Linked DNA regions of Canis lupus familiaris. The protein of the gene in region 4 interacts with the protein of the main gene of each other region in a pairwise test. Links are inferred from orthologs where the notes say so. Each region holds a gene or a part of one and is shown on either strand. Other genes may lie near its edges.

Evidence for each region. The genes of interacting proteins can lie anywhere in the genome.
Region 1: the proteins of KAT5 (region 4) and CEP70 interact in binary tests that used the Homo sapiens proteins (3 or more experiments, as listed by UniProt). The link is inferred for Canis lupus familiaris from reciprocal best matches to the Homo sapiens genes KAT5 and CEP70.
Region 2: the proteins of KAT5 (region 4) and ZC2HC1C interact in binary tests that used the Homo sapiens proteins (3 or more experiments, as listed by UniProt). The link is inferred for Canis lupus familiaris from reciprocal best matches to the Homo sapiens genes KAT5 and ZC2HC1C.
Region 3: the proteins of KAT5 (region 4) and HMBOX1 interact in binary tests that used the Homo sapiens proteins (3 or more experiments, as listed by UniProt). The two-hybrid records come from large-scale screens. The link is inferred for Canis lupus familiaris from reciprocal best matches to the Homo sapiens genes KAT5 and HMBOX1.
Region 5: the proteins of KAT5 (region 4) and PLA2G4A interact in a two-hybrid assay, tested with the Homo sapiens proteins (2 studies listed by BioGRID). The link is inferred for Canis lupus familiaris from reciprocal best matches to the Homo sapiens genes KAT5 and PLA2G4A.

The regions. Positions count from the first base shown.
Region 1 is NC_049244.1:35,247,518-35,252,524, reverse strand, and holds part of CEP70 (centrosomal protein of 70 kDa), read left to right. Parts: intron 1-2,114; coding exon 2,115-2,285; intron 2,286-5,007.
Region 2 is NC_049229.1:48,493,159-48,497,587, reverse strand, and holds the end of ZC2HC1C (zinc finger C2HC domain-containing protein 1C), read right to left. Parts: intron 1,873-4,429; coding exon 1,609-1,872; 3' UTR 1,326-1,608; downstream 1-1,325.
Region 3 is NC_049246.1:28,663,802-28,668,808, forward strand, and holds part of HMBOX1 (homeobox-containing protein 1), read right to left. Parts: intron 3,617-5,007; coding exon 3,479-3,616; 3' UTR 1,880-3,478; intron 1-1,879. UniProt on the Homo sapiens protein: Binds directly to 5'-TTAGGG-3' repeats in telomeric DNA. Associates with the telomerase complex at sites of active telomere processing and positively regulates telomere elongation.
Region 4 is NC_049239.1:51,999,840-52,003,996, reverse strand, and holds the end of KAT5 (histone acetyltransferase KAT5), read left to right. Parts: intron 1-425; exon of another isoform or gene 426-1,385; coding exon of another isoform or gene 1,386-1,496; intron 1,497-1,658; coding exon 1,659-1,818; intron 1,819-1,942; coding exon 1,943-2,024; intron 2,025-2,115; coding exon 2,116-2,250; 3' UTR 2,251-2,658; downstream 2,659-4,157. Other genes in the region: RNASEH2C (ribonuclease H2 subunit C), read right to left, coding at 1,386-1,496, 3,167-3,286, 3,372-3,559, 3,748-3,919. UniProt on the Homo sapiens protein: Catalytic subunit of the NuA4 histone acetyltransferase complex, a multiprotein complex involved in transcriptional activation of select genes principally by acetylation of nucleosomal histones H2A and H4.
Region 5 is NC_049228.1:19,792,710-19,797,716, reverse strand, and holds part of PLA2G4A (cytosolic phospholipase A2), read right to left. Parts: intron 4,895-5,007; coding exon 4,672-4,894; intron 3,923-4,671; coding exon 3,808-3,922; intron 1-3,807. UniProt on the Homo sapiens protein: Has primarily calcium-dependent phospholipase and lysophospholipase activities, with a major role in membrane lipid remodeling and biosynthesis of lipid mediators of the inflammatory response.

The DNA of each region.
Region 1 (5,007 bases), on a different chromosome or scaffold from region 4:
CCTGTGGAGGGGAATTAATTTTTCCATTAAAATGTACTTAAATACAAGAGAAGAAAATGTAATACTCTCTTGAAACTCTCAAATGAAATACTCTCTTGAACTAAAAACAAAACAAAACAAAAGCACCTCAGTGAACATCTGAAGTCTTAGTACCAGGAAACCTATGAGTTTATAGCTTGAAGTATGAGTAGGGACAAAGATTTGAGATCAAAAGAGTATCTTGTTCTTATACTTATATAGCTATTTATTATATGCTCTGGGCTTGATGGTGGTAAATAAGAAAATGGCTTTACTCTTCTTTGTTTTATTTATTTTTTATTTATTTTTATTTTTTAAAGATTTTATTTTTTTATTCATGACAGACACAGAGAGAAAGAGAGAGGCAGAGACACAGGCAGAGGGAGAAGCAGGCTCCATGCAGGGAGCCTGACGTGGGACTTGATCCCGGGTCTCCAGGATCACACTCCGGGCCGAAGGTTGTGCTAAACCACTGAGCCACCAGGGCTGCCCTCTTCTTTGTTTTAAACTTGCTGTTTTGGGTCTTCCCTTCCTTTCCTTGGATGATATGTAAGGTAGAACTCATACCTTTTGGCAGAGTGCTATAGTCACATATTAAGATATTTAAAATTCACTCAGGCATTAATGATGTTAGGGAATTACTGTTAAATTTCTTTTTTTTTTTTTAAGATTTTATTTATTCATGAGAGACACAGAGAGAGAGAGGCAGAGACATAGGCAGAGGGAGAAGCAGGCTCCCCTTAGGGAGCCTGATGTGGGACTCAATCCCCAGACTCTGGGATCACACCCTGAACCAAAAGGCAGACGCTCAACTGCTGAGCCACCCAGGTGTCCCATGTTAAATTTCTTCTGTATGATAATGGTTTTAGGATTTAAACAGGAGAATGTGCCTACTTCTAAGAGAAACATACTTACCCTTAAGTATTTGAGGGTAAAGTTTTATCATGTCTGTATTTTCTTTAGGAGGTTCAGCTAAGTGAGCAAATATAAGATAGTGTTAACAATTGTTGAATCTAGGTAGTGATTATGTGGGTATTTATGATGGTTCATTTTATGTATCAACTTGACTGGACCATAGGTTTCCCAGATATTTGGTCAATTTTATTCTGAATATGTCTGTGAGGATGTTTATGGATTGAGATTAACATTTGATTTTGCAGACTGGGTAAAGCAGATTGCCTTCCCTAATGTGAATGAGTCTCATTCAGTCATTTGAAGGCCTGACTAAAACAAAAAGGCTGAATAAAAGGGAGTTCCCCTTGCGTGACTACCTTTGAGCTGGGACATCAGTTTTTTTCCTGCCTTCAAACTTGAACTGTCTCTTCCTGGGTCTCAGGCCTGTGAGCATTCAGACTAGAACTACTCCATTGGCTCTCTTGGATCTCCAGCTCGCCTAATGCAGAAATTGGGACTTACCAGCTTCCATAATTATGTGAGCCAATTCCTTATAATAAATCATTTTAGATATATACATATACATTGTTTCTGTTTCTCTGTAGAACCTTGATAATACAGATTTTGGTACTGAGAATGGTTGTAGAGGAACAGCATTTTAAGGATTAGTTCTCTGCATTGGGTTTGGGGTTTCCAAAATTGGCATGATGTTTACAGGATTTCTCTATAGAATGTGTTGGACTTTAGTATTCATTGTCCTCACTTTGAACTTTAACTGAGGTTACGAAACAACAGGATATGCTCCCTTTAAACATCTGATTTAACTTAAATATAAGGAGATAGAATTAGAGAAATGTGAGATTCTAGCTAAGAATGTATTGATGATTCTTTTTCCCTGTGTAGATTATAATAGGGCATTCATAACTTACTTTAAAGTCTAAATCATTTGAAAATGCATTTAGCTTTTCTGTGAAGACTGTGGTTCTGATTAGAACTTATATGTTTAATTATGTTGATGAAACTGCTATACTTCCAAAACATTACATGTGTCATTCCTGTTAAAGAACTTCTTAATGCCTAAAAATAATTCTGAAAATGATGATATATTGACATAGAAAGCACTCCTTTAACCTAAATCATTTTGGATAGGACTGTGATAAACATTTCAACTAAAAGCATGGTCTTTTTTTTTTTTTTTTAAGGTTCTGAGTAGCATCAATTCAATTGTTCATAATCCAAGAGCTCCAGTAATAATTTATAAACAGAGCAAAGGAGGAACCCAACATTTTAATAAAGATTTTGTTCGAGATTGTGGATTTGAGCATCTTATTCCTATAGTAGAAATGTGGGCAGATCAACTGACTTCTCTAAAGGTAAGGGGTTGAATATTTTTTACATGCTTTGAAAATCTCTTGGATTCTCTGCGCTTTTTGTTTTTGTTTTTGTTTTTGTTTTTTTCCTCTGGGCTTTATTAAAGGACTAGGCTTCATTTTTTTTGTGTGTTTGTTTGTTTTAGCTGTAAAGCTTACCTTATTTATTTTTTTAAATTTATTTATTTTTTTATTTATGATAGTCACAGAGAGAGAGAGAGAGAGAGAGAGGCAGAGACATAGGCAGAGGGAGAAGCAGGCCCCATGCACCGGGAGCCCGACGTGGGATTCGATCCCGGGTCTCCAGGATCGCACCCTGGGCCAAAGGCAGGCGCCAAACCGCTGCGCCACCCAGGGATCCCAAGCTTACCTTATTTAAAACTTGAATTTAAAACTTGTTACTTACCATATTGGTTTTAAGTACTACCTATTTGATGTTGTCATTACTATAAGCTTTGCCTCCTGTAAAGTTTTGCTAAAGACTTTTAGACCTGTTGCCATGTTGAAAATCTGGAGTGGATCTATTTTGCACTTCTAGGTCCTTTCCTGTTCTACCTTCATCTTACTCTTTTTGGTATTTCCATGCTGCAGATTTTCCTGGCCTTTTACTCCTCTTGAGATACAATGTTTTATCCTTCATTCCACTTTAATTGGGGATTTTTTCCTCTTCATATTTTAAATCATTTTCCTTCTCTCAAAACTGTCCACATCTCCATAACTGTTTTATAGAACAGTTAGTAGTTCAATAACAGCCAATACTACTTTTACTTATCATGTCTATCCATGGAAGATAAACATTTCTTTGCTTTCTAGAGTTATTTTGCATTCTTTATCATGTATCTTCAGGTTTTTCAGTTTTTGTTGAGTAGTTCACTGAAAGGTGAATTGCTAAAGTCATTAATATTTAGTTTCTATTCCCTTCTTCAATCTTTAGATCTTTCTTTCTTTTCTTTTTTTTTTTTTTTTTTTTTTTTTTTTTTTTGAGTGGGGACAGAAGGGGCAGAGAGAGAGAAAATCCTAAACAGGCTCACAACCCTGAGATCATGACCTGAGCTGAAATCAAGAGTCAGACACTAACTGAGCTGCTGAGGCATCCCTGATCTTTAGATTTTTCAATAATATATATAGCACTACCTCTGTTCATGATTCAGTAACAGTATTTGTCAACGGAACCCTTGTTGCATGAAGTATAAATGATACAGAAGATATGAGTAAGAATGTATAAGTTCTATGAGTTTTATCTTTTTTTTCTCGGATATATCCCAAGGAATCTCCTGATACATAATGTGTGCTTAATATTTGTCAAAAGAATGAAGTAGAATAACAAATTCCAAGACAGCAAAATGACGATGATGATACTGAATTTAAAAAAATTAATGAAAACATACTGGTAATTGATGAAAGAGTCTTCGTGTTCAGGCTAATTTCTCTTTCCCTTTTTATATAGGGATCAGATAGAGCTATAAAATAGAAAACATTTTAATTGAGTGATAGTGTTGTTGTCTTAATATACCTATCTTATAGGCCTGAGTCTCTCCAGTTTATATCTTAGTAGATGTTAATTATGTAAATATGGTTAATTATGTAAACCCAGTCATTGCTTGTCAGAGGGTTCTCCCAGTAATAGGAAACAGTGCTAACCCCACTTAAAAAAAGATTTATTGAGGGGACACCTGGGTGGCTCAGTGGTTGAGTGTCTGCCTTTGGCTCAGGGCGTGATCCCAGGTGCAGAAACTGAGTTCTGCATCGGGCTCCCTGTGAGGAGCCTGCTTCTCTGTGTATGTCTCTGCCTCTCTCTGTGTCACTTATGAATAAATAAATAAAACCTTTTTAAAAAAAGATTTATTGGGGCTCCTGGATGACTCAGTTGGTTAAGTATCTGCCTTTGGCTCAGGCCATGATCCTGGAGTCCTAGGATAGAGCCCATGTCAGGCTCCCTGCTCAACGGGGAGTCTGTTTCTCTCTCTGCCCCTCCCCCTCCCCCTACTCCTCTCTCTCTCTCTCTCTCTCTCTCTCTCTGTCTCTCTCACTCTCTCAAATAAATAAGATATTTTTTTAAAAAAAGATTTATTTATTTGAGAGAGAGCAAATAAGCCAATTGTGGGAGGGGCAGAAGAAGAGAATCCTCAAGCAGGATTACATAATTAACCATGGTTTACAAAATTAACATTTACTAAGATATAAACTGGAGAGACTCAGGCCTATAAGATAGGTATATTAAGACAACACTATCACTCAATTCTCTCAATCCCTGCTGAGGAGGGAGCCCAATGTGGGGTGCTCTGTCCTATGACCCATAAGATCATGACCTGAAGGGATCCCTGGGTGGCGCAGCGGTTTGGCGCCTGCCTTTGGCCCAGGGCGCGATCCTGGAGACCCGGGATCGAATCCCACATCGGGCTCCCAGTGCACCTAACTGACTGAGCCAACCAGATGCTCCACTGTGCTAACCCCACTTTAATTCCTCGCAAGGAAGATGGGCTAGAACATGCCCTAGCCTTTCCAAGAGAAGGTAAAAGACTAGAAGAGAAAGGAGACAAAGGAAGAATCACATAAATGGATAGTTACTGATGATTTACTATGTTCAAGGCATTGGGGAGGTAGTCAGAAAAGATGAACACTGGGTGCCTGGGTGGCTCAGTCAGTTAATGTCCAACTCCTGATTTGGCTCAGGTCATGATCTCACAGTTGTGGAATAGAGCCCCTCATCAGGCTCTGTGCTCAG
Region 2 (4,429 bases), on a different chromosome or scaffold from region 4:
CAAAGCAGTCCATAGGCTACCACTTTGCCCCCTTGGCCATAGCTCATTCTTATCATCTTTTGTTTTTAAGTATGAAACTTAGTTTGTATTTCATTGCCAGGGGAATGTATGTATTGGGTTAAATACCCAGTGTGTGTGTAAGGTTCCTTCAAGTGGCCAGCCTAAAGCCCTGCTATGTGATTCCTCTTCTTTGCAACAATTAAGAAGAGCATAAAGCAATTCAATATGTACTGTTTTTTAAGTAGATACATTTTTCTCCACCTAGGGTCCTGCAGCTTCGCAGCTAAAGCCTTAATCACATTTCAAGTCGGTCTGGTCTATTAGCCCAGCCATTCAGCAGGTGCTGCAGAGGAAATGGAACATGAGTGGCCATTTGTTAGTAGAATATGGGTTTTTTTGTCTGCTTAGTCACCTTGGCCCAGGTCAAGTTGGGTGTTTTTTTCTCCAGTATTTTAAACTAACAATTTGAGTGATGTTCTCAGGACAATAATCCTACTGTTATTTCATATCTGTTGTTCTATCTTCATCCTATTTAAACTGATACTACCCCTGACGGGCATTACCTTATCACTTCTCCCATCTGACCAAACTAGGACTTACTCATTTTATTATTTAATTTTAAATCCCCAAAACCCTTTTTGAAGGTCTAATTATGAAGAGTACCTGCAGTATGCACAATTCTGCACAGAGAAAATTTTAAAAATCCAGTATCTTTTTTCATTTTTCATCAAAGTTTACTCTCTAAAATAGAAGTTCACTGTGATATAATGGACAGCGACATGTGAGACTGCAATGTCCCAGCTTGCTTTGATGGTAGATTTTGCTGCCTTATTTCAAAAGCCATACAACCAATCTGATTTCAAAGCAGAATGCCAGCAATCGCTAAAACTGAAGTTCCTTCCTTTTTTTTTGACATATGAAATCCATTAGCAAAGAGCAACTACTGAGGCATACAGTAGTGCTCTCCCCATCCCTAGCCTGTAAAGCACATCAAGATGAGGTTCTCTTTATGACACAGTATACCACAAGCGGCGCTTAGGATAGACTGGCACCCGAACTTTGCATACTGGTGTTGGCTTTTGGCCAGGACCATGCGTCACAAAGGTCAAGCATAAACTTCCATTTGCCTTACAGCAAAATTGTATTATCTTTTATAAGAGATACCACCTAGGTGATCATGATCTTCTGACACCAACTTAATCTAATGAACCAACTTCCTGCAAGAGCAAGAAGCATGAACAGGAACCACAAACATACATGCAGAGGCAATGGCAAGAAGGCACAGCAAATGCAGGCACTTAACTAGCACAGACCACAAGTCAGGCTTGCGAGAAGAGAGATTTAATATAGCCCACTTGCTACTCTCAAGTGTCTTCACCCACCAGTTCTGAGGGCAATAGAAAGGCACACCAGCCCAACATGGTAATTTAGTGGGAAGCCGAAGCTTCCTTTTGCTTCCTGCTGCTTAGCAATGAGTCTCTTCACTGATTTAAGTTCTGCAGGCAGATGTGGGAGATGTAAAGGTTTTAGTTCTGGTTTGTATCAAATTATTCTCCCATTTACTGCTGAAGAGAAGCAGAGCCTTCTGAGACTTCCACTGTTGTCTGTTCAACTGTAATGCTTCCTTGGAGGTGGGGGCCGATTCTTAATGGTCTTACACTTGGGAATGTGGCGCTCAGCCACCTTGGGAGCAAAGTGGCGGCTGCAGTGTGGACACTGAATATAATCTGGATTTTCTGCAGGTAGAATGGGTGGCAAGTCTGAGGGGTTTCCACCTTTGGCAATTACCTGCTGGACCTCTCGGGCCTGACGGAGAGTACGGATGAAAGACTCATGCTTCTGTCTCCAGTTGCTCTTCTGAGGAGGTTCAGCCTGTAAGTAGGAGGAAGACTGATTATTTGACTTGGCATTTACCACATCTCCTTCTGAGTCTTCATCAGAATGACAGTAAGGAAATGTAAAGGATGCTCTCCCTAAGGTCAGAGAGAACAGGACAGGAGCAACAGAGCTGACTTGCCAGAGTGGAGGCACTAAGCTAAGGGCCTGCCAGGGGGGATGGTACTGGGAGGCTTGGTGTTTACAGGTAGAGGCAGGGGAGAGGTGTGGGGCTGAGAATAAATTGGATCCCTGGGGCCCCGTCCCATCTTGCACATCCAAGAGTCTGTCACTTCCAGCAGTCTCACAGGAGAACAGAGGTCTATTCTCTGTAGAAACTGAACCAGACAGGTTTCACACGCAGGAAGTCCAGACATAATAGAGAACAAGGTTAATACTGAAGCTGAAAATTGGGATTAAGTGCAAGTATACATGATAAATTATGGAACTGTTTGATATCCTGGGAGCCGAGGAATCAACTCAGCTCCCAGGATATCAAACACATTGGCACCCTCACAGGAGACAAGAGTTCTCTGGTTGCACCAAGCAGTCAAGAGAAAAGCCATTAGATGCTGGCCCTGCATGACCCCAGTGAAAAGGTTCACTATTTGAGGCCTTTAATCAACAAGCCTCACTTAAGCTTAACTATGAATGGACAGCCTGGGGTCACCAAATATTTGAGTAAAGCTCTAACAAGAAAAAAACCAAAACAGGTACATGAATTCTCTTTCTCTCTCTCTCTCTCTCTCTCTCTCTCTCTCTCACTCACTCTCAGGAAGCAGCAACAAGGCAAGTAGAAGAAAACTTAAAACCAGAAAGCCAGAAAGAACTATTATAAATTAAAACTGTGATAACTAAGGGGCGCCTAGGTGGCTCAGTTGGTTGAGCATCTGACTCTTGAATTTGACTCAGGTCATGATCTTGGGGTCATGGGATTGAGCCTCACATCAGGCTCCACGCTCAGCACAGTCAACTTGTTCCTCTCCTTCTGCTTCTCCTGATTATGTGCTTATACTCTGTCTCATAAATAAATGAACAAATAAATATCTTTATTTTTAAAAAGACCACTTAAAAAAAAACATAGCTAAAAATAAAAATAGCAGTGTTTAAAATGTCAAGAAAATTAGAATGGGAAAAAAAGATCAAGATGGGAAGTAGAAAAGATTAGGAAATTAGAAAGTCAATCCAGGAAGTCCAGCACCTGACAAAAAGGAGTTCCAAAAAGAACAGAAAAAGCAAAGGAGGAAATTATTAAATAAATAATACAATAAACATTCCTAGAATTAAGGTCACTGTCTTGAAATTGAATAGCCTACCAAGATTCCAACACAATCATTGAAAAATTTTGGAATTTCAGAATAAAGAGTGAATCCTGTAAGCTTTCAGAAAAAGAAACACCAAGAGAAGCTTCATATAGTGGCGCAGGAAGCAAAATGGCATCAGATTTCTCAACGGTAACACGATGCTAAAAGCTAGTGGGAAAATGCCTTAAAAATTCTAACAGAGGGCGGCCCAGGTGGCTCAGCAGTTTAGCGCCGCCTTCAGTCCAGGGTGTGATCCTGGAGCCCTGGGATTGAGTCCCACATCAGGCTCCCTGCATGGAGCCTGCTTCTCCCTCTGCCTGTGTCTCTACCTCTCTCTCTGTCTCTCTGTCTCTCATGAATAAATAAATAAAATCTTAAAAAAAAAAAAAAGTTCTAATAGAAAATCATTTTTTCTTTTTAAAAAGATTTTATTTATTTATTCATGAGAGAGAGGCAGAGACACAGATAGAGGGAGAAGCAGGCTCCATGAAGGGAGCCCGATGCGGGACTTGATCGTAGGACTGGATCCTGGGACTCCATCCTGGGACTCCAGGATCACACCCTGGGCCGAAGGCAGGCGCTAAACCTCTGAGCTACCCAGGGATCCCCTGAAAATCATTATCTACCTAGAATTCTATACCTAGTCAAATCAACTATAAGGTTGTTGTATGGATATTTTCATTCATTTTGAGACAAAAAATATGCCTCCCATGCACGTTTCTTGAAAGCTTCAGCAAATCAAGGAATAAAGCAAGAAAAAGGAAAACATAAGAAGCTGGAAATAGGACCCGATACAGAAAAGAAGTAAAAAAAAGAAGTCCCAACACAACAAGTCTACACTAGACCTAGAGAATAAACAGTCCAGACTGGTGCAGGAGGAAAAAGAGTAGTGGGAGGAAAGTTTCCAGAATTAAAAAAAAAAAAAAATCAAACTGATGGATTAAGTATTAGTGCACTTATAAAAACACTACTAGGTATCTGACATCAGATGAATCATTTAGGGGAAAAAAATTAGAGACAGGTATGTAGGGAACCAAGCAAATAAAAACCTGAGTCAACTATTAATTCCAGGTACACGTGGGCAGAGGCAGAATTTGTTCACTCATCGGTGAACAAAATTTACATGGTTATTATAAGTAAAAGCTGACTGCTGCTTTAATCCAAAGTTGTGATTCCATTTCAATGGAAGAAGAGAAGGAGAAAAGTAAAAGGAAAGGAGATGTGAAAGAGAGCTTAACCCACAGCATTCA
Region 3 (5,007 bases), on a different chromosome or scaffold from region 4:
AAATGTCTATTTGGTACTGACTGGCACCAGAAGGTCTCAGCTAAGAGTGTACCCTACTGCCCTCCTTGGCCTTCAATCTATGTTAGAGTTATCAAAAGCAAGGTAGAAATCTCACTTGGATGGTCCATCTTTCGAAGGTCCCTTTGTAAGGCTGTGTTGTAAGAAGAGTAGGAAGTTTACCCACGTGACTACAGTAATTCAATGAAAGTGACCTTGAAAAATAACAGACAAGTTACAAGAACTGCTGACCAGGTTCCCCATCCCCCCTTTCAGTCTTCCTTACTATGGAAGAGCAGTCCTGAAAGTCCTCTGGGGCCTGAGGGAGGTACATTATGGGGCCAGAGAAGAGGGACACAACAACCAAAAAGCACACAACAGGATTTTTTCAGAGCCCTGGCTCTTTTCCCTTCAGTAAGAGAGCAGTTTAGGGTTCCTATTTAAATACCACCAAACCTGAAAAAGCTTAAGAAAACAAATTCACTATCCAAAGACATCACAACTTAGACAGTGGCAACTGTATACACCATTATAAGAACTAAGGTAACCTGGACAAGACAGCTGAATTCAACCTGGTGGCAAAAAAAACCCCAAAACCAAAAAACCCCAAAAAACAAATCAACAATGGTAGATTTAAATCTAGGCCCCAAAGAACTATATCTTTGCTCTTGGTGAAAAAGCAAAAGTTATATGTAAGGCAGTGGGTCTTAAGAGCAGGCCAGCAGTCTTCTTCAATTAAAAGAAGATTTCTGGATGAAAGATTCCTTCTTCCTGTTCCTACTGAACCCAATATGAAGCTATCTTGCATCAGTAGACATGTTCTTTCACTTTTTTTTCCAGGTTGCCAGATAGGGCCCTGTACTGCTTTCATGGATACCGACTCTCCTTTATTCTCTGAAGCTTTTCCCCATCCCTAAGGCCTTAAAACAATGAAACCTTTTAGCTCTTCTCTGGCAATCACTGTATTTCTTTAGAAACTGCAGCTGTCCTAACAGTTTGAGTCTGTTTCTTTAAAAAGACCAGCAAGAACAAATGATACTGACAATCCCATCATAAAGAAGCTATCAATTATAATAATCTCCTTACAATAAATCATGGATGTGGCTTGTCAGACAGTATAGTTTTCTCACTTCTTTGAGTCAACTGAGAATAAGCAGACAAAATTCCACCGAAATGGAAAGATACAACATGTTATATTTCTTCTACGTAATATAAAAGGAAAGAAAGATAACATAATCTCCTAATTGAAATAAAAAGTCCAACACACTAAGAAAGAAAATGAGCAGGGGGATCATTCCTGAGAATAACAAATGCTACTCTTGAATTGGTTGGTTCAAGTAATACAGTAAAACAGAAAAGACTACCCCATTTTACTTCAGTTCTTGGAAGCTGGAAGAAGCACATACACTTTCTGCCTGAAATCCACAGACAAAAGCAGGCCCAGTCCCTGCCTACAGCTCTTTAAAGTCACAGCCCCATATAAGGTGGCATCTTCGTGCCCTCTTGAAGGCTTCCGCGCACTGGCCTAAGGAGGATAAACAGATACAGAGAAGCCCTTGTCAGCACGTGCCTTACATGGAGTCAGACCAGCTAAAAACTGGTGGGTATTTAATTTAATATCTCACTAATGAGGAAGGGCAAAACAAAGGTCAGTCAGTTTCTCTCCCTCAATGGTTTTAGGCTGAATACATTTGGTGGGGGAGGAGGGGTGAAGAGGTAAGGAAATGGCACCTTCTTTCCATCTTAGAAATCGTTCTCAGGTAATGGATGACAGGACAGAAGCCCTGTTGAATAGCCAGCCCCGCAAGGCTTCACCATGCGTAGGAAGGAGAGATGGAACGAAGCAGAAAGTATACAGCAGTCATGCCTCCTTCAGACGCACCCTACGCCGCTACATCGAAGGCGGTTTCCTCTTCCCCACAGTGACAGTGTGTCATTTAATCGGGATGCCAAGAGATCATTTTCATACAAGGCCAGCAGATGTAATTTTCTTTGATGCATGAATAGTTCATCATTTTGCTACTAGATGACAAGGTGATCACAGGGTGACTTTATAACGCAAGTTCACTGTTTGGTATTTTGAGTTCTCAAAATGAAAAAAAGATTTATCAAATATAAATATCTTTAAAAAGTAACAAAAGTGCTACATATGTGATCAAGGAAAAAAATTCCATTAGTTACTGCCGCTTAAAGTAGATTAAACTTTACAAATATTACCACATCCATTATCAATATGGCTTCCAATTATTAAATAAATTGCCTGTAGCAATATAGCTTTTCACACCTCTACAAGGACAGAGTAAAGAGAACACCAAAGCAGTCACATCACGTTGTATCTTGAAGACCCGCCACGTAAGTGGCAATTGTCCCCTGTTTTTTCTGCTCCTATTTAGGAAAGTATTTGCATTTGTGATAGTCAGTCAGCATAATCCCACTATAAAGTCCTCTATCAACCTCTCATATTGAGGGGGCTTCAGTAAATGGATACAAAGACTGGAAGTTCATTCAGTCATTTGTGACCTTAGCTCCATCCTTGACTTTTTTTGGTAGCAGGGAAAGGGGACATAAACAGGAGGCAGAGCAGCTTCCATGATGGCCTCCAGCACTTTTCCAGGCAGGCACACACCTGTGCCATGTAATGTACAGTGGTTCTGAGAACTGGACTTAACATCCATTAGACATTCAGCTCATGTTTTTTTCCAATGCTCTCAAGCTGGGTTTTTTTTTTTTTTTTAATGACTTTTGTTTTTTGTCTTTTTTTTGTTTGAATCATGGTCCCAAAGGCAGAAGGCAGTATTTTATCTACTAAGTCACACAGCTTGTGAGAGGAAAGGATGTCTGTGTCAGGCATGTTAACATCAACCAAAATTTGAGATCAAGTTTTTCCATGGACATTCTTAGCACAGCACCCAAAGAAGTATAATCTAGCCACAGTGTGACTATTATGAGGCACGGCTTATTGCAGCTGGAAATCAATTATTCCCACCCTGAGTGGGAATTCTAGTGTTCCTTTTACTCTGTGGACACTCCCCAAATGGTGTCTGTCAATCCTGGGCCACACTACCTCAGCTTGCATCCTATCAGTCTTGGGGAAGGAAAAAGGTACAGACTAGTGTTACAGGAATCTAAAGGTACCCAAGGTTTTACACGTAGCCTAATATTGGAGAACTGAGGGCTATCTAAATACCTGGAAGCACTTTCTTGGAATGCTAAGACAGAGCAGCAAGATTTTCTAGCCTCGGGGGCTGGGAGAGGGAAGTTTGGTTGGTTGGTTGGTTATTATTTACTGGGAATTAATACTGAGAGAGTATATGCAAAGGCTGAGGGCACCATGCCATCTTCACAGAACAAGACCCTAACGGCTAACTGACATACAAGAAACTGCAAGTTATACTGTAAGAACACATGTTAAGGACCGAGGAAAGTCTGCTAAGGTGCTACGTCTAAACTAAGTTAACTTCTCCTGTTCAACCCTCCCTGCTCAGTCGTCATCCAGGGCCTCTGTCTTGATTTCGTTGGCTCCTTGTCGGGCCAATGCCAAGATAGTGTGGTTGACTGCTGCCATTTCCACAGCTAATGAGATGGGGTCTTGGTGGTCACTATGGCTAGTGCTGTCATCCTAGATGTGCAGAAATAAGAAACAAATGTTATTAGTGGATTGGTAAAATTCTCCAACTCACAGAGAGGCATGCTGAAGGCAAGGGGGGCAGAACATTCGTGGGAGGAAACAGTGGGGGAGGGGCTCATGACATAATAGAGGTGAAATGTATTTAAGTAGCCACTGAATGGAAATAGGTCCAGATTTCCAACTGACATTTTTATGATTCAACAAATAAGAAGTACCAAAATGTTTTTTCTGAGAATTTTATTCCTTCTATCCGAAGGGCTGCTGGTGATGATAATCAAACCTGATCATTCTAGGTTTGCAATGAACATAGCACTAGTCATTGAAGGCCGAATTAGTGAGCTATTAAATTCTGGATTGGTACTCTTACAAAGAGATTACCAGACCTCATGGCATCTCTTTACTGAGCTGAAAAAATTAGACTAAACTACAAACACCAATATCTAATGGGTAAAAATGCATTTTTATAAAAGAACAAACCCAAAAAACTCTCAATTACAACAGGACAAAAGTATAAGAGCCAGAAATGGCTCTGGGAGAAAATGTGTGGTGCTCTCCTGCTGTAAGGCTGCTGTGCCAGGGAAGTGGCAGGTGTCGTATTTTAGCGAGAGTGTGAAGTGCTCCTTCCGTGCACAGCTCAATGTGTTAAACAATAAAGCTGTGAAGGAAACTGGCATTGCAGGATGTTTGTCAGGCACTGAAGATGGTGTTACAAATGAGGGGTAAGTTTCTCACCTGTCACATCTTCAGGGGAACTCTGCATTAAAAAGCTTTGGAAAGGGTAAGCCCCTTTAGAAAAAAAATCATGGGATGTGCTACCCTTAGGGCATCTGGAAAACACAGTGGAAATGATCCACCTACACTGGTAGACTGAAAAATAACAGGAATGTTTCTGATGAGAAGGACAGAGTATTTTCTTGAGTAAAATGTGGAGCTATGATTTGGAATCCTACCAAGAGAAAAGGTAATTCCCAGGGGAATTATGGACATCATTGTTGCATTCCCATTTTCACAGACAGGTCTTCGGGGTTTAAAAAGGGCTCAGCATGGGGTTGTGTGCACTCTTGTGGCATTTGCAATCAAGTTGGTAAGCAGAGATTGTAAAATGGCTGGCAGAAGGAAGAACACAGTGGACTACATTTAAGAGCTGGCTGAGGGTTGAGGAAGAGGTATATATACACTGTAGGAAAGAACAAGCTTTCCTGCTGGCGTCCAGTAGAGATCATACATTCTTTTCACATTCCAAACAGAAATGAATTTTAAGTCCTATGACAATATTAATGAAATTTGTCAAGAGATATGCGGGGTGGGGAGGTGGGTGGAATTCCCATGTTCTTAGTTACTGAATTATTCCATCCAGTGGCTACAATTAAATATATTTTTCC
Region 4 (4,157 bases):
CTGTGCCACCATAGAAATTCCTAAGTGAGGACCAGTGCTTCATATGCCACCATACAAATTCCTGAGTGAGGACCAGTGCTTCATTATCCCAGCTGTAACCTGAGCCTTGCAGATAGTGGATGCTCAAAATGCTAAAGTGATGTTAACTCAGCAAAAATAAGGAAGCACTGATTTGTGTGGATTTGGTCTCTGCTCCTTGGATTCAGGCAGGTCAGTCTCTTAAAGCCCACAAGGGACTCTGCCCCTCATCATCCGTGAACTCTTCTATGTCCCCCACCCGCAAGGCCCCCTTTTGCTTCCCAGCATCTTACATCACTCCACTCAACTCACCACTCACTGAACCCTTGGGATAGTTAAGTTCTGACCTGAGAGACAGGAGGGAGCCTTAGCTGTTTGGTGAAGTCACAGTGGCTTGACTTGATAAGGTCATGATCCATTTGAGTTATTTTATTAATAGAATGATGCCAAGATGGGGTCACATTCTCAGGAAGCCCTCAGCCTGATATGTGGGCGGATACTTAAAATGAATCCAAGCCTTGAAGCTCAGACCTCCATGGAGATAGGATGTGGGCAAGGACACCAATGTGATGTGCTCACTTCTGCCCAGCAGGAGCAGACAGGTGCACTGGGAGTGCCCATTCCGGGCAGTTCTTGAGGGCAGGTGGATGTTCACTGGGGAGGGGCCAGGAGCTCCTTGCAGCTGGGGAGGCTGATGTGGCAGGATCCCACATGCACTGGCAGGCCCAGCAAAGTCAAGTAGGGACCCAGGTGTGCTCCCTTCCTCTTCCAGGCTTCCTTTCTCTAAAGCAGGAGCTTTTCTGTCCCTCTCCCCAGCAGGCTGCTTGGTGGAAGTCACAGAAGATTGGGCAAGACTAGCTGATAAAGATTGGGAGGGGTAGGCAAAAAGGGCTGTGAGCCTACATAGCTGTGACTGAGGGTGAAGAAGGGCTTATAGAGGTAATGAAGGACACCCCAGGACCCTGAGGGAGAGAATGAAGACTCTGCCAAGAGACACGAAGCCATATAGGATTTTGCACAGCCTGAGGGGCTCCCTAGGAACTGCCTGCTAGTGCCCAGTAATCAGCAGGGTAGAGGAGGACAGAGCAGTCGGAGAGTGCCTCTGGAGAGGTGAGTTACCTGCTGTGGAATGGCCGCCTTCTGACCTGGGAAGTACATTAGTGCCTCTCCTTGCTTCTTATCAACACCTAGTCAGGCCAGCCTGGTCCTGGAGCAGCCAATGCTCCCCAGGTCACAGCTAGGGGGACTGACTTGACTGCAAATCCAGACATCCTGAGGCCCAGACCACACGTGGGGGCTGCCTTCCCTTCTCACATACCCAGGAGATATGGTCTGGAATGATGAAAATCAGGCACTTGCCTTTCTTGTCATTTTCTCTGCACTTCCCTGGTTCCTGAGTTTTTCTCCAGGTGGATTATAGCTGTTCCTTTCAGTACCCTCCACAGCACAGAGATGAAGAGTGAATGCTCATTAGCTCTCTGGGGAAACAGACACAGCAGACTAGCTACGTATGTCAGGTCACAGAACTACCACATGGCAAGGGTGAGATGGGAACCAGGCAGTTTACTCCTGTAACCATATTCTGAAAGTTGCATGAAGGTGTGATCGCTTACCCACCCCTTCTTGCTGCCTTGCTGTAGGCTATGAACTCTCCAAAGTGGAAGGGAAAACGGGGACCCCTGAGAAGCCCCTCTCAGACCTTGGCCTCCTATCCTACCGAAGCTACTGGTCCCAGACCATCCTGGAGATCCTGATGGGGCTGAAGTCAGAGAGCGGGGAGAGGCCACAGATCACCATCAAGTGAGCCTGGCCCTACCTCTGACCCTGGGGGTGCATGGCATGGCCCATCCTCATTCCTGGGGCTCCTGGGGGCTTGGGGCAGAGAGGAAGGCCTCCAGAGGACCTGATCCTTGTCCTCCCACAGCGAGATCAGTGAAATCACCAGCATCAAGAAGGAAGATGTCATTTCTACTCTACAGTACCTCAATCTCATCAACTACTACAAGGTAGGGAGGCAGGCAGGGGGAGACGTGTGTGTAGGGCTGCAGAGTGTGCACCCCACATGGGCTGACCCTTCCGGTCCTATCTCCCATCCAGGGCCAGTATATCCTCACACTGTCTGAGGACATCGTGGATGGGCATGAAAGAGCTATGCTCAAGCGGCTCCTTCGAATCGACTCCAAGTGTTTGCACTTCACTCCCAAGGACTGGAGCAAGAGGGGAAAATGGTGACCAGGCACTGTCTATAGCAGTGGCAACAAAGCAGAACTGGGGCTGACAGCACATCCCACCCCCACCAGGGCCCCCAAGAGGCACACCAAGGGAGGTGGGGCTGAGGACAGCTTCATAAGGAGAGGACAGGCCTGGTAGGGGCTAGCTGCCCAGCACCAAGGCGAGCTCAGGGCTCAGGTCAACTCCAAGGTCAACTGGCTGCAGGTCTGGGCCTGCTATGAAGCAGGGACTGGACGGAGCCAAGCAGCTATGTACAGTGAGATGGGGGGTGGGTGCACTCTGTACAGAGGGCTAGTGGCTGTAAAAATTTCTTTTGTAAGGAGTTGGGAGGAGGGGTGGGTACTGGCAGCAAAATTCTGGCCTCTTGCCCTCACTGCTCCTTGGCAATAAATCATTTCTATAGACTGAGCCATGAAAGTTTCTTGTGGGAGAAGGGGTAGTGCCAGCTTAGAAGACTCCAAGGTGCCCACAAACTCGCAGGTGCTGTGAAGAGCTTGTTTATTGGGGTGATGGAATCAGTGGTTCCAAAATGAAGAGCTGGTTTATTGGGGTGAAGGAACCAGTGGCTTTCAATTTCAAGTTCCGGCTCTCAGTCTTCAGGCACCTGTGCGTGAATCTGCAACAGGAGTCACCTCTACTATTGGGTTTTTGACACACACTGGGTGGCCCACATACTCTGGGAGTGACCCAGCTACTCAGAATGACAACCCCTTCTAGACCAGTCAGAGGTAGGGAAGCGCCCCTGCCCCTGACCAGTCTAATCCAGTCAGACCCAGGCTCCTTGTACCCCATTGTACTCCCCGGCCCTGAAGCCCCAAGTCCACTCGGACAAGATTCTGGACAGTCCAGGGAATACCCTTGAAGGCACAAGGGAATGGATGGGGCCTGAAGAGTGAGGTCCCATCCCCCTACTCACCGCTGCGGCCAGACTGGGCCAGGTTAGGGCCCCGCGCACTTTGGCGTCCGGACCAGGAATGGTCTCCAGACCCCATAGCGTGAAGCGGCTGAAACTGGCGATGGCTCCGATAAACTGGTCCTGAGGAAGGGGCCCGGCTCAGCATGAGGGCCACCGCTGCCGCCCGCACCACTCTCCAGCCCTGCCCCTCCACCCCCGTGCTCACGAAGTCCCGCTCCAGCGCCTCGCGGGGTTCTGCCCGCTCCTGCTCCTCTCGCTCGTCACCCTCCGAGAAGTCCTTCTCCATCGACACCTCTCCCTGCTCCTCCATCGCCATCACGTATCCCACGAGGCCAGGAGGCACCACCACCTCCTCGCCTCGTAGTTTGCGGCCCCGAAACGACACTTCGAGTCCTGCAGAAGGCAGGCTCGGGACCTCGGTACGGGCTTGATTCAGGGCTTGCGGGGCAAGCCCCCCGGGGCCCTCCCGCCACCTCCGTTGGACCACGATCCCCAGGAGCCCTCGCGCCACTCCTCGCCGAGGAGAACGTGGCGTGGGCGCGGGGGTTGCCGGGAGTCGTAGTCCGGCGGTGAGCACTCACCGTCGGGACCCTGTCGAATGGCTGGGGTGAAGAAGCGGTCCACGGGGGCGGGCCGGTTAACTAGAACCTCGCAAGGCAGAAGATGCAGCGTGGCGCGAGCGGCGTCGCGCAGCGTGCCGGGGCGCAAGTGGACGCGGCACTTCTCGACTGCTGCCTCCTCGCTACTCTCCATTCTCCGCCGCCGATTCCGCTGCTCGGTGGCCAAGGCCAAAGCTGGCGCGTAAAGCGCGCGGAGCCTGTCGGGAGTCCGGGGACGCTCAGCTCAGAGCCTCCTGGGAAGCGTAGTCCTTCCTTGAGGCTCCTCTGAGCCTCTGCGAGCCCTGCCTCGATGTGTTCAAATCCCAGTCTTTTTTTCTTGAAAATGATTTTCAGGAGTACATTCTTATGGTAAAAAATCGAAACTATTCCGA
Region 5 (5,007 bases), on a different chromosome or scaffold from region 4:
TGTTGACTCGTACATTTCAAACTTGAATCTCTCTCCTGTACCTCCATCTACTCATTTCCAACTTCCTGTTGCGCATTTAAGCTTAGACACAATGTCATCACATCCCACTATGCTTATCTGGAAAGGAACTCCTTATCCTTCCTCCCAGTCTATCTTACCTATTTCCGTACACTATTAGAGCCCCAAAAAGGAATTTTTTAAACTGACATCACATCACTCACTCACTTACAAAAGCAGAGTGATAGTGGTGCTTCCAGCTTCTTTCCTTGCTAATCTACCCATATGAATCACCAAAGTGCTTTTTTCCTCCCAAAACACTACTTAAAAAATTTATTGTCCTGCCCCCAAACATCAAAATATTTCCCATTATCATTATAACTGAATAAAAAGATTTCTCCCTGGAATTCAGATCTTTTTATAATTTGGCACTAATAATTTTCCCAAATGCACCACCCACCTTCACCCACTCATAATAAGGCCAATTTCTTTTTACTGCTCTCAAAAACATACTTTGGGCTCCCCTTCTGAGTATTTTCTCATGGTATTTCACACAACAAGAACTATTCATCTCTCTTGATAGACCCATGTATGTTCAAAGGAAATCTGAGTTCCATTATCCACCTGAAGTCCTTATGACTGGACTAAATGTCTATGATATCTTACTCTCATGTCGGTTCTACACACTTTAATAGATCGTAATATGCTATGTGTATGGCTCATTCATTTTTCATGTTTTATTTTTGTCTTGTTAATGGGATTATAACTTTCCTGAATACTATATATACAATACTATATAATACTATATATCTACTCTTATAGTCTGTCAAAGAATTTAACATGATGTGGAGTTCTCTAAGTTGTGCTCAGTAAATGCAATTTACTGACCAATGGAAACGTAAAAATGAAAGCAATGTAGTAAGTGAAGGAGGCAAAAATATTTGACAGTTTAAACATCTAATGTTTATTTGTTTAAAATCTTCAAAAGAAGAAAATGTTTAAAACTATTCTGAAGGGAAGAAAAACATTCTCTGATATTGTGAAACAAAGTTGATAAAACTTTTGTAAGCTAAGATAATTTGGTTCTTTGACATTTAAAAATATTATTCAGATAATATTGCAGCTATTTTCCCCCTGAATATCTATTTTTAATCTGAGCAAACTTTAAAGGAATAAAGTATAGACATGGCTCTTCCCCCACCTCCCCTCAATAACCCAAGCTACTTGAACCTTCATAACATAACATCTTTGAATATCTTATCTGGGTACAAGATCCATATAACTAATGCTTGATGGCTTTGTCCAACTCTGTTGGAAGACAGAGCTTTGAACCTCCTTATCATAAAAGCTTCACAATGAAGGTTAATGGTGTATCTCTCATCTCAGTAACAATATCGTAATTAGGCAGATGGCCCAAATCAGACACATCGAGGTCAGAAGGTTACTAGCTGAACATAAAACAGCCTTTCCCACTCTAGGGGAATCTAAAATTACTTCTTCCTTAATGATTATGATCAGATTTTCCATTGAGAATAGGCTACTGGCCTCAAAGTTCAGAATAAAAAAAGGTGACTATGAAAATGTCCTAACAATCTTAACGATAGTAGTGACACTATCATATTTTGTCTCTTTATGATGTGTCATCTTCTGCCTACTTCATGTGATTGTCTTAATAGTTTTGTTAGATAAATCTGATATTTACTAATACCATCTTTTTTTTTTAAATAATGAAGAAAATAAAAATCAGAGAGATTAAATGGCCTACCAAGGTATTTCAGCTTTAAAACAAGACTTTCAAATTAGTCTAGGGCTTGTTTGACCATATCATAATGCTTTTGGGGTAAAATGGCTTATTTGGCTATGCACATATTTGACAAGCATACTAGTAGGATTTATCAACCTATCTGCAAACATTCCAAGACCTCACAAAACAATAGCTATAGGAAAGCAAAAACAAAACAAAGTCAATTTCCTCATGGCACTTACTTTTCTTGCATGCAAAAATTTCAATTCTCTCTAAAAACATTACAATCAAGATCTTGCTCTTTATTAATGCTGAGCATGCCATGGTTATCCTAGACTCCTAATCTACGCCTTATCCTCATCCAATAATTAAATTTGCCTTTTATATAGAAAACCTATTTGTAGTTAAGATCCAGACCTCTGATTTCTCATATAGATTTCATAGAGCACTAAATTTTTAAGATTTACTTAACCTTAATTCGGGCCTGCCAGTGTTTTATGTACTTTGCATACTTCATATCATTTATCTATAGAAACACTATGACAGTCTCATCCTTATTTAACAGATGTGGAAACAGACTAACAGATGTCATGTAACTTAGTCACAGGAATAATGCATAGTAACTTCTTCCTTGTGCCTTAAATTCTTTAATAATTATGGTAAATTTCCTAGATTATAAGGTCTGATAGAACAGAGGCAATATACTGTGCTGGGGGAGGGGGGTTCATGCTTAGCACCTGGCATACTATATTTTACATAGTCAGTAACCAGAGAAGCTAATATTTTAATAAAAAGAACAAAGGAAGGGTGCCTGGGTGGCTCAGTCAGTTAAGTGCCTGCCTTTGGCTCAGGTGATGATCCCTGGTTCTTGGGATCGAGCCCAGTATTGGGTTCCCTGCTCCCTCTCCCTCTGTTTGCTACTCTCGCTGCTTGTGCGCATGTGCGGGCTCTCTCTCTCTCTGTCAAATAAATAAATAAATAAATAAATAAATAAATAAAATGTTAAAAAAAACACAAAGGATTTTTGAAAACAAATCTCAGCTCTGCTACTTACTTCTGTGTGGCAATGTACAAATCATTTAATCTTTCTGAGGTTTTGTTTTTTTCTTCTATGAAGCACAGCTGAAAAGACCTCACTTCCTGAGTTGTAGCAAAATTGAATAGGATAATAAATATGATAAGTGATTTCTGAGCCATAAGCATAATGGATATTTTAGTCAATGTAACTGGTAAACATTTGAATGAATGAATTGCGGGTGCACTGCTTTTTATAAATAATTCAAAATTCTTGCCTCAGAATAGTCAGTTGAATAAAGTGAGACTTTGTAAAATTGCAAAATGTTTCTGGAAATAAATCTGTTAATTTCATGCCATTCACAATGACTTTTTTTTTCTTATGGTGTGACTGGTTTTCTTGAGGTACTTTTCCTAAAATTACAACGAACCCTACTAGCTGTAGTCAGAAATGCTTCCATACTGCAGACTAGGACTGCCAAAGCCCCCAGAAGCATGATGTTACATGTTTTAGAGCACCCAGCAAGAGGCAAAGCTTCTGTAGAAGAAACAAATATTTACATTTGAGAATTAACAAAATGGGGCATTTTGTTCCTCATCTGCCACAAGTATAGAGTCGTACTTTTTAAGTACTGTATTATAAAAATTATAAAAGTGCTTTTAATGATAATCACATATGTTATCCAATTTAATGAAAATATAAGCAGTAAGCAAAAGAATATGCATTGCCTAAAAGCACGAGACACACTATTTTGTTAAAAGTCCTTGAGAACTGAGTAATGAAAATTGAGATTACAGTCAGGACTTTTTTTCATAATTTCTATTTCACTAATTTAAATGAAGATATATTAGTACCTAATTTCATGGAATATTCTCTACCATCAGAAAATCATTTAGCTTAATATTTTCTTGTATCTTCGACTGTTTTTATGGTACAGAAAATATACAAAAACAGACAACTAAAATTGCTTATGAACTTCCTCTAATGACAATCATGACAAACCAACAGTTCAAAGGTTCGAGGAAACGTTTTGAAAGAGGAGATTTCGTACCTGCAAACATTAGCTCTGAAACATCAGGTTTGACATGGAGACAGGTGAAGAGAGGTAGAGGACACTGACCAGAACTGACTTTTTCCTTCAGACTACTCAAAGTAGTGTTCATTCTCTGTCCACAGAAGAAATACATGGTTTTAAATATAGTAACAGATACAGATAGGAAGCTACTTAAAATAGTACTTGCAATCAAGACACTTAAAACTTTTATAATAAAAATAAGTCTTATTTTTTTCTAGAAATCTCTGGGTCCTAATATACAACAAAAGTATGCTCTAGGGAGGTAATTATCTTCACTCTAAAAACAACCACAAGTTTAAAGGCTATGTCTACATTTGAAATGAAGAACAACTTGGCAGCTATGAAGCTATGAAGAAGAGAGTCTGGACCCCAGATTCTCTGGCACAGACTTTATCTCCCCCAACTTTATCTTCAGTTGAAGTGTCACACTGTTGTCATATGTCAAATGGGCTTGTTTCTTGTGACTCACTCCCTTTTCTGACTCTCTTTTCAGCAACCTCTATTTTTCCTCTACCATTATTACTTGTATTCATCTCCTTATTTAAAAAGACTGCCATTGGGCGTGGGGGTGGGCAGTTAAGGGTTAAAATGTGTATTTTTCCAAAGAAAAAGAACCCAAAAGTACCTCGCTACATCAAAACTATTACACAGAATGAGTAAGAACTAGTTGGAAATGTAGAAATGTTACGTCTGGCAGGGAGTATGTACTCAGTACACATTGTTGATAGGATCAGGTGAGTCAAGTGACTTTTATAAGATGTATCATTTTGTTTTATGAAAGTATTATGATATACAAAGTCTATTTGTATCAAAAGGACTGCAGGTTGAATCATAGCTTACATTGTGAATTAGTGTTTCTCCTATTAACATCCCAAAGATATCGGTAAAGGTGACAGGTTGTCCAGAGCTTTTCTTCTTCCATAGAGACTCAACATATCTTTTAACTTTCTGTGGTGTGAGAAGCAAAAGGGGGTTGTAGCTAACATTTTTCATTAGCTCTTCATTAATCTCCTCTGGCCCTTTCTCTGGAAAATCAGGGTGAGAATATAAGGTTGACATGTACCTGTAAAGAAAACAAAAGATGATTAATGAAGAGAAAGGACATTACATAGTGGTCTCCAAAGAAGGCAGGTACTCTCTGTCATAAATACATAAAGGAAGGAAGGAAGAGAGAGT